Callithrix jacchus: one gene and its partners. The protein of the gene in region 1 purifies or fractionates together with the protein of each later gene. This does not show direct contact. Links are inferred from orthologs where the notes say so. Each region holds a gene or a part of one and is shown in the gene's direction. Other genes may lie near its edges.

Region 1 (3,656 bases):
TTCAGTAGAGACGGGGTTTCACCATGTTGGCCAGGCTGGTCTCAAACTCCTGACCTCAGGTGATCTGCCCTCCTCAGCCTCCCAAAGTGCTAGGATTACAGGTGTGAGCCACCAAGCCTGGCCAGAAAATACGTCTTTTTTATGATAATGAATATAACTGTTGTATTCAGATGGAATGCATACACTAGGGAAAAATACAGACTCATCACATTTTAGCAGAGGAACCATCATTTAGCCAACACTTTTTTTTTTCATATGTAGGAATTCAAGTACTATAAGATTGCCACTAACTTACCAGAAGCTGTGTTGTAAGTATAGGACTGAGGCTTAAGCTGGATATTACTGACTCTTAGTTCAGTGCTCTTTCTGCTTCCTTAGGCTGTCTCTGCTATTATTAATTTCTGTTAGAGTGTAATGTATTTTTTATTTTTTGCAAAAGACTGTAAGAGGAACTATGAATAATTTATATACAGGAGGAATAATGGCTGTCTAGAACAAAGACGGCAGAAGTTGAAAGTCCCTACTTTCTGTTGTGGAAAACACCCATGGTAAACATTTGAGGTTCCATAACCTAACGTCAAATTCCTTTGTTATCTCCTAGTTGGTATTGATGGTGATTTTTTTTTCTTTTAAAGAGGATCTGATCTTAGCAATTTTGGAGCAGTTCCTCAACAAAAGAAGCTGCAGGAGGAACTTTCTGACTTATCAGCAATGGAAGATGCTTTGGATGAGTTAATTAAGGATTGTGCTCAGCAGCTGTTTGCGTTAACAGATGACAAAGAAAATGGAAGATATCCTTTAAGTCTGTACGTTTTTAAAATTTCTCCTTCCAGAGCAGATTACTTAGATAGTAGAGTCAGCTTGGGGACTTAATTTATATATTTAAAATATAAAATTAGACCATTGCAAGCTAAAGTAATACAAAATTAGCCGGGCGTGGTGGCGCATGCCTGTAATCCCAGCTACTCGTGAAGCTGAGGCGGGAGAATTGCTTGAACCTGGGGGGGTGGAGATTGTGGTGAGCCAACATTGTGCCATTGCAAGAACGAAGCTCCATCTCAACAAAAAACAAGTTTAAGTAAGTACAAGTTGGTAGTGTAGCCTCAAACATACACAGCGTACGCAGTAGGTTGTTTTAACTTCGGTGTGGCGTTTCTTAGATTAAATTCTGGAAGATGACCTCGGGTATAGTATCAAACCAAGGTCAATGCTGCCACTTAAAACAGTGGAGCATTCATTTTTATAGTCTGAATACTGTAAAGATAATAAATTTTTGTTGGCTTTTGTGAAATTCATGTTTTTCCTAGAAATTTGTAAACGGAAGTTGATTCTGAAACAGAGTGAATTGCCATTGAAGTAAGTGGTGCTTCAACTGCCATTTGTGTCCACAGAAGCATGTTTTGCTTAATAGCAGTTTTCCTTTGAAACTCAGTGTCTCTGGGAACTGGGGAATGGGCCTGGGGGAGCCTTGTCTTTGGTACTGACCTCCTAGGTGTCTTAGACCTGTACACTGTGCTGTTCCCGTGGTACCCTTTGTGAGGGGGTCACTGATTCTAAGATATTCCATACCTCAGATTTACTTAAAACTCTCTAGCAGTCAGAAACCTCTATTCCTACAGTACAGTTATTGGAAGGAAAAGAAAAATAAGCACCAACATTACTGCAGCCAATTGGGAAAAAAAACAGTGCTAGGGAAACCCAGTAAATTTGAGGTAAAATTTGAGACAGTACAGTGAAACAGGACGAAAGAGACTCAGATAGTGAGAAGGAAAATCATTTCGGATGAAGTAATGAACATAACAGTCTTGAGAAACAGTCTCTAAGTTGTTTACACCTTTTTATGGATTTTAGGGGATGAGTCCTGAATGTTTTTTCTTAAAGTTATAGTAAGATCTAGCTTACTGTAGCTGAAAAGGGAATCAAATGAAAATTTGAATTTCTTCATGAGCTATATTTGTGTTAGGGATTTGGACTTTATTAATATTTTTCTCTAGAAATTATCATTATAATAGTATAGCTTAAACTCTTTAGGTTGAGGAAATATTGTAAAACACTACAAAATCTTTGTGAATAATAAAAATGATCAATGAATTTTTTTTTTACTGCTTTCCTTCATTGTGAACTTGTATCTCATAAAAACTAAAGACATTCTAACATTACCCTTGTGTTACTGAGTTACTAGAGATAAATTATCTCCCCAATAAATAGCATTCTGCATAGAGATCCTTGACTGAGTTTTACACTAGCATATGTGACATATCAAGACATTCATAGCATTCAGGCCTTCCACGAACAGATCGTCATTGCAGTCAAAGCTCCAGCAGAAACCAGATTGGATGTTCCGGCTCCCAGAGAAGTAGGTAACCCTGCATTTTTAAAATATCCAAGGCCAGGCGCCATGGCTCATGCCTGTAATCTCAGCACTTTGGGAGGCCAAAGCAGGCGGATCATGAGTTCTGGAGATTGAGACCATCCTGGCTAACACACTGAAACGCTGTGTCTACTAAAAATACAAAAAATTAGCCGGGCGTGATGATAGGCGCCTGTAATCCCAGCAACTTGGGAGACTGAGGCAGGAGAGTTGCTTGAACCTGGGAGGCAGAGTTTGCTTCAGAGCCGTTGTGTGCATGTGCACTGTGTGTCTCATACTGACACTGCTCAAGGCACTTCATACCCTTTAACTTGTTTCAACTAACAACAAATCAAGTAGTCATTATTCTCATCTTAAAGATGAGGAACCGAAAGCTCACAAGATGAGTTATCTTTGTCAGGATCACCAGAATTCAGACCTGGTTAAGGTGGCTTCATAGTTGCTTCTTAGAAGAACCACCAAGAATTTTCCTCTCTTAAAGTTCCAAAAGTAAGGTGTGGTCTCAGCCAGGGCACTGGGGACTTTGGGCTTTTTCCCTATGCCATGAGCTGCTTCAGACTGTAATTGCTGAATCTGGCTGAGCCTTTGATCATGCCTGAGGCTTCTCTTAGAGTCTCATTTCAAGTCTGTGCACATGGGCCCAATTGACCAGAGCCTGACCATGAAGATGTGGGGGTTGGCAAACTGACCTTCTTGTTCTTAGAAATACTTTTATCAGGACACAGCTACATGCCCATTTGTTTACATACTGTGTCTCTGGCTGCTTTTATACTATAGTGGCAGAGTTAAGGGATTGTGACAGGGATAGTATGACTTGCAAAGCCAAAAATATTTACTGGCTCACCCTTTACAGAAGTTTGACAACTAGTTTAGTGGAATGTGAAGTCCTCAGCTGGCTTCCAGTTGAGAGTAACATTAGTTCCTTTTACTGTTTAGAAATATCTGTTAAATTGTATGGGATTTACCATTCAAACCAGATGTGACCTGGCACTCTAGAAGCTGAGCACAGATATTCCCTAGCCCACTTGCTGGGTACTAGAAAGTCATAGCAAGGACAAGTGAGGGTCTGAGACCGTCTGAGAGGCTGCATCTCCCCATACTCACCCTGGTATGAGATCACAGTGCAGTGAAGAGCAGGAGGGAGCAGTGGTGTCTGTGTGTCCAGCCCAGGCCTAACTGCACTAAACAGGAGAAAACAGACTTTGTTACAGTTAGACTAGCTCCCAGTTAAAGCAGTCATTTATAACCGGAGCTGTTCCTTAAGAATTTAGCATAATTCCCAGTA
Region 2 (3,074 bases), on another chromosome or scaffold:
CTGACCATCTGAAAGACACTGTCAGGAATGAAGATAACTCCTTAGAGGATAAGGGCAGAATCTCTTCCAGAGGAAACAGAGATGGCAGAGTCACGTTGGGTCCATCGCAGATTTTTTTGGCAAACAAAGATTCTGGTTATCCACAAATAGTTGATGTTTCCAGTATGCAGGAAGCACAAGAGTTCTTACCTAAAAAGATTTCTGGTGATAGGAGAGGGATTCAGTATAAATGGAAAGAGAGTGAATTGAGAGGAGAGAGAGTGAAGTCAAAGGAGTCTTCATTTCATAAATTAAAGATAAAAGATCTCAAGGACTCAAGCATAGAGATGGAACTGAGGAAAGTAACATCAGCTATAGAGGAAGCAGCTCTTGATCCCAGTGAACTGCTAACTAACATGGAAGATGAGGATGATACTGATGAAACACTGACTTCACTGCTCAATGAAATTGCCTTTCTTAATCAACAACTAAATGATGACTCTGTTAGCCTGGCTGAACTACCCAGCTCTGTGGATACAGAGTTCCCAGGGGATGCTCGGCAGTCTTTTATCAGTAAGGTTCCTCCTGGAAACAGAGCAACTTTCCAGGTTGAGCACTTGGGAGCTGGTTTGAAAGAGTTGCCTGATGTTCAAGGGGAGAGTGACTCCATCAGTCCCCTCCTCTTGCACTTAGAAGATGATGACTTTTCTGAGAATGAAAAACAACTTGCAGAACCAGCCTCTGAGCCAGATGTCCTTAAGATTGTCATTGACTCCGAAATAAAGGATTCACTTCTTTCCAACAAAAAAGATACTGATGGAGGGAAGAATACTTCTGGCCTCCCTGCAGAGCCTGAAAGTGTGTCCTCACCCCCGATCCTACACATGAAGACTGGCCTGGAGAACAGCAACAGCACAGATACTTTGTGGAGGCCTATGCCAAAGTTGGCCCCTCTAGGTTTAAAAGTAGCTAATCCTTCCAGTGATGTAGATGGTCAGAATCTCAAAGTGATGCCTTGTTTGGCACCTATAGCTGCCAAAGTTGGGTCAGTTGGACACAAAATGAACTTAACAGGGAATGACCAGGAAGGCCGGGAAAGCAAGGTGATGCCTACATTGGCACCTGTTATGGCTAAATTGGGCAACTTGGGGGCTTCACCAGGTTCTGCAGGGAAATGAACTTACTTGTCCTTGAGCAGAAGCCAGGCTGTGAGGGGAAATTGATTTCACCTCCTTTCTCTGCAGGTATCTGTTTGTTTGTGTCTTGGAACTTGGATCCTTGACTTCAATGATGCAGTGGATAATGATGGAGAAAGGGGGTAGGGTGCTGACCCTGGTATAAGAAGTACTCTGAAATTCTGATCATGTTAAAATGTGTTACCTCACTTGTGGTGCTGGGTCCCCTCATCCTCTCTAAGAAGATGTGATTCGTTGCTGAACACGAGGTGCCCCTCTTACCCAAGGAATTTATAACAAGACTCTGGCCCCACAGTGGTTTCTAATTCTTCCCCCCAAGAGAAAGAGCTGTTTGCAACTTTGGAGTTGCTGTGGACTGAACTATAACTCGTAGCTGTTGGATTAAGTCTGAAATCTAAGGAATGTGATGGACTTGTGCAAAGGGATCCAGAAGAGATAACTTTTTAGTTGATGTTTAAAGAATAGTGAGAGAGAGGATGGGTACCATGGAATACCAAAGTGAAAGACTTTGTGTCATTCAGCAAAATTTTCTTTTTTCATATCCCAAGTAGCTCCCATTCTGTCACCTTTGCAACCAGAATTAACAAATTCAAGCCTTCGGTAAAGTAGGGATGCTTTTAACTTTTATTATTAAGGTAATTATTTTGAGATCTTAAAAAAAATAGCTCTCCCTTATTTTTGTGGGTATTGAAAAGATCATTAAACATTACCAGGGATTTTTACTGGGAATATATATTTTGGAGGTAGGCATAGAGGGAGCCCTACCTCTTCCACAGGTTATATCAGTCAGGAGACAGCTAAAATAAAATGCATTATCTCCCCAGACCAGAGACAGTGGCCAAAATAAAAAATCATGGGGCTGGAAATTTCTCAAATCAAACCAGCCTCCTGGTGCTTGAAGGTTTCATTCACTATTACCTTCACAGGACGTAAAGAAAAGTCACAGTAGGCACTCTTTACCAGGGAAATAAGGCAGTATTTGAATCACAAGATATATTTTTTATCTGCAACCATGGGTTCAATGATCTGTAGAGCTTTTTCACTCATTAGCTGTCAGGATATGAAGGACTGACAGTCTGTAAAGATAAAGATATTTATATTTTTGTATAGTTGTTTTCATAGATTTCTCAAAGGCTGAAGTTTTCAACCCAGAAGATGAGATTTGTATTGAGTATAGAAATGATGTTTCCTATCTAATTTGTAAATAATCATGGTGCACTTGAGGGGGTCTATGGAAACTCCTGGGGGCAAGAATCACTATTCTGAAACTGTATAGACTGGGATTTAGCTGCTGCATTTTGCCTTTCTTAAATAATTATATTTTGGAATGTAACCCCTGTTCTGTCTTCATTGACAGGATTTGCTTGTGTTGTTAAAACACTAACACAAGAGCTTCCAGTGCCTGGGCCGTGCCTAGGTGATGCTATTTCTTCTATATCTCCTGTCTTCTTTATCCCAAATCCCACTCAGCATATCTTCAGACCTAGGTTGTGAGACCAATTTTGGATTGGATCTAGCCAGTGAATTATTATTTCCATGGTTGGTTCCCTTTCTGTTAACTCTGGTTATCAACAGATTGAAAACATTGGAAAAACTTCCTCTGCAAATTGCAGTGGGAGCAAATTCTTGTTGGTTTTGTGCTGCTTGCCTTTCTTATCTGCTCATCAGCACTTAACCTTCCTTTCTCTACAGCTTAGGAAAGAAGCTTGAAGTAGGTAAAGAGTGCTCCTCAGCTTCTCATTATCCTTCCACTGTTTACCCAGCAGTTTTCATTCAATGCCTTAGCCAAGGAATCCAGCACCTGTCTCCCCTGCTAATAATTGTCCTTAGAGATGCTAGTACTTTAATCCAGGTATAGCAGTTTCCAATTATTTCCTTGCTTGTCTTTTCCCTACATTT
Region 3 (3,656 bases), on another chromosome or scaffold:
AGACTGCTTTCATTTTTCGTTTGTTTTTTTAATGAGACAGGAGTCTCACTGTAGCCCAGGCTGGAGTGCAGTGGTGCCATCTCAGCACACTGCAACTTCTGCCTCCCAGGTTGAAGCAATTCTACTGCTTCAGTCTCCTGAGTAGCTGTGATTACAGGCGCCCATCCCCAGCCCAGCTAATTTTTGTGGTTTTTTTTTTTAGTTGAGACAAGGTTTCACCATGTTGAGCATGCTGGTCTCAATCCCCTAACCTCATGATCCAGTTACCCCAGCGTCCCTAAAATTACTAACTTCATCACACCTAGTTCTGTAAAGGTTTTTTTGAACCAGAGCACGAAGTTGGCAAGCCGGTTGTTGGTGTAGGGTGATCTTACTTTCACGTCTATTAATTGATACTCATTTTCTTTTTTACAGCAGTTCTAAAAAATCCATAGAAATAGTCATCTCAGCCTTACATTGTATCAGGGGTCAGCAACCTTTCCCCCTAAAGTGTCATGTAGTAATTATTTTCTGCTTTTCGGGCCACAGGTCTCTTGTCTCTACATCTCTGCTCATCTAAACGGATGAGTGTGGATGTGTTCCAATGGTACTTCATTTGTGGGCACTAAAATTCAAATTACGTATAATTTAGTTTGAAATATTTTTCCAACCATTTAAAAACGTAAAAATATTTTTAGTTTGCAAACCATACAAAAGACTGGATTTAGCTTTTGGTTTACCAGCCCACTCTATACCATTTCCCAATTTGAACACCCAGCAAAAATTGAAAATGTCTAATGCTTCAGAATCATTATGTCTTAAAACATGGCATTGGAGGTCCCAACCCTAGACATGATATGACATACTAATTTGGGGTGGGAATTGGGAATTTACATTTGTTCAGCCGTTTGAATTATTCTGTTACAGTAAAGTTTACTTCACTTGGAAGTAAAATAGCAGATTTCTCTCAAAAGACTTGTCGGGCCTGGGTGCAGTGGCTAACACCTGTAATTCTGGCACTTTGGGAGTCCAGGGCTGGAGGATTACATGAGACCAGGAATTTAAGACCAGCTGCGAGAGACCCCTTCTCTTTTTTTTTTTTTTAAGTGTTTTAAGTTAGCTGGGTATGGTGGTGCATGCCTGTAGTCCCAGCTACTGGGCGAGTGGGGAGTGGGAGCTGAGGCAGGGGATTGCTTGACCCAGGAGTTGGGAATCTTCAGTGAGCTGATCGCATCACCGCACTCAAGTCTGGGCAACAAAGCAAGACCCTGTCTCCGGGGTCGGGAGAAATAAAATGTAGGGAAGGAGGAAATGATTAGTATCTGCAGTACAGAGGACTTTTTATTTCCCCAGGTGTCTATTAAAATGGATCTGGGTAATGGGGATGAATCATGTTTAATTGAATTTTTTTTTTAACAGTGCTGACAATACTTGGGAACCTGAAGAAAATTTAGATTGTCCAGAGTTGATTGAAGCATTTCTTAATTCTCAAAAAGCTGGCAAAGAAAAAGATGGTACAAAAAGAAAATCTTTATCTGACAGTGAATCTGATGACAGCAAATCAAAGAAGAAAAGAGATGCTGTAAGTATACAGTATTGCCTAGCAGCCTGTCCGTTTGTAAAAGGTTGATGGCTTGATTGATTGATTTTGAGACAGTCTCACTCTGTTGCCCAGGCTGGAGTGCAGTGGCGCAGTCTTGGCTCACTACAACCTCCCCGTCCAGTGCAAACTCCTGACCTCAGGTGATCCATCAGCCTCGCAAAGTGCTGGGATTATAGGCGTGAGCCACTGTGCCCGCCTGATGGTTTGGTTTTTTAAAAACTCAGGCTGGGCACAGTGGCTCAAGCCTGTAATCCCAACACTTTGGGAGGCCAAGGCGGGTGGATCACCAGCCTGACCAACATGGTGAAACTTCATCTCTACTAAAAGTACAAAAATTAGCCAGGTGTGGTGGCACATGCCTGTAATCCCAGCTACTCAGGAGGCTGAGGCAGGAGAATCGCTTGAACCCAGCAGGTGTAGGTTGCAGGGAGCTGAGATTGTGCCACTGCACTCCAGCCTGGGCGACAGAGTGAGACTCTGTCTCAAAAAAAAAAATCTCAACTACTTTTCTAAAAGGCCTCTTAATTCTACTTTAAATATTTTAATACTTAGGGCAATAAGAATAGGTGTGGTTTAGTCTACATTATGTAAATGTGCAGTAAGTGCTTATACCACTTGGGCAGTTTTTCTTAGTTTCATGGAGTTGATCACTGATCCAACCAATCACCCGTGATCCAAGGCTAGCAATCTTTAGTACAAACAATACTAAGATTGGATTATTGAAAGCCATTGTATTACAGTAAGAACAATGTAAAGAGAACTTTCTGATTATAGTTCATTAATGGCATTGACCATCAAAAAGTACTTGTGTGTCATCTTAGTATTGCCAAACAATGCACTGATTTTGAAGTATATAATCTTCGATAATAAAAACTGTTACACATATTCTTGGCATGAAATGAGCTATTTAGTTCCTTCAGTATACATATGCTTTGGTCCAATCTTTGCTTCACTTATATCTCTGTGGCTTCAGAAAGTCAAGTAACCTCTTACTTCTACCCTTGACTGTAAAACTAGATTATACTTGTCTTGCCTACTGACCTAGTATGGCAATTTGGGGAGATATCTTTGTGCTGAATTAGATTCTAGGCTCTGGCACTAAACAGACAATACATATTAATTGGTAAGGACTTGGGATTTGAAACTTGATCATTTGAAGTAGAAGCCAAGAAGTCTTACCTTCATGACAACTCATTGTGTATAAGGTCATAGGTATAGTCACTATTTTATGGATGAAGAAATGAGATTGACTATATATTTGGTTCTGAAAGTAAATCATGTGCTCAACAGAAGCACAGTTTTGGCCAGGCACAGTGGCTCGCACCTGTAATCCCAGCACCTTGGGAAACCAAGGCAGGAACATTGCTTGAGCCCAGGAGTTGGAGGACAGTTTGGATAACATAGTAAGACCCCGTCTCTACAAAGAAAAAAATATATCAGTCAGACGTGGTGGATGCCTAGTAGTCTTAGCTACTTGGAAGGCTGTGGCAGAAGTATTGCTTGAGCCTAGGAGATCAAGGTGCAGTGAGCTGTGATCATACCAGTGCACTTTGGCCTGGGCAACAAAGCAAGACCTTGTTACAAAAAATTATTAGATAATCGAGCACAACTTTAACAATACTTTTTGAACTGTTACCATTTGCCATACTGTGTTCCAAATCATTTGCATTTCATGTGCTGTGAAATACCTATGCAGTAGATACTAAAATTCTATTTTATTAACCTTACCACAAAGAGGTTAATTAACTTGCCCAAAGCCACACAGCTCATGAGCAGGGTAGGTCTGTCATTCTCACCCAGGCAGTGTGACGCCAGAGCCTGTCACATTGATATAAAACTCTGATGGGGCGGGGCGTGGTGGTAGCTCACACCTGAAATCCCAGCACTTTGGGAGGCCAAGACATACAGATCATCTGAGGTTGGGAATTCGACACCAGCCTGACAAACATGGAGAAACCCTGTCTCTGTTAAAAATAAAAAATTAGCCGGGTATGGTGGCACATACCTGTAATCCCAGCTACTTGGGAGGCTGAGGCAGGAGAATCACTTGAACCTGGGAGGCAGAGTTTGCAGT

Evidence for each region. Proteins that work in one complex are often made in the same cells at the same time.
Region 2: the proteins of E2F6 (region 1) and MGA purify together in Homo sapiens (affinity purification with mass spectrometry; 3 studies listed by BioGRID and IntAct, counting the BioPlex papers as one, with this or other methods). This does not show direct contact. The link is inferred for Callithrix jacchus from reciprocal best matches to the Homo sapiens genes E2F6 and MGA.
Region 3: the proteins of E2F6 (region 1) and CBX3 purify together in Homo sapiens (affinity purification with mass spectrometry; 4 studies listed by BioGRID and IntAct, with this or other methods). This does not show direct contact. The link is inferred for Callithrix jacchus from reciprocal best matches to the Homo sapiens genes E2F6 and CBX3.

What each region holds. Positions count from the first base shown.
Region 1 is NC_133515.1:103,596,127-103,599,782, forward strand, and holds part of E2F6 (transcription factor E2F6), read left to right. Parts: intron 1-635; coding exon 636-791; intron 792-2,241; coding exon 2,242-2,356; coding exon of another isoform or gene 2,357-2,360; intron 2,361-3,656. UniProt on the Homo sapiens protein: Inhibitor of E2F-dependent transcription. Binds DNA cooperatively with DP proteins through the E2 recognition site, 5'-TTTC[CG]CGC-3'. Has a preference for the 5'-TTTCCCGC-3' E2F recognition site.
Region 2 is NC_133509.1:44,834,369-44,837,442, reverse strand, and holds part of MGA (MAX gene-associated protein), read left to right. Parts: coding exon 1-1,157; 3' UTR 1,158-3,074. UniProt on the Homo sapiens protein: Functions as a dual-specificity transcription factor, regulating the expression of both MAX-network and T-box family target genes. Functions as a repressor or an activator.
Region 3 is NC_133512.1:31,891,659-31,895,314, reverse strand, and holds part of CBX3 (chromobox protein homolog 3), read left to right. Parts: intron 1-1,398; coding exon 1,399-1,561; intron 1,562-3,656.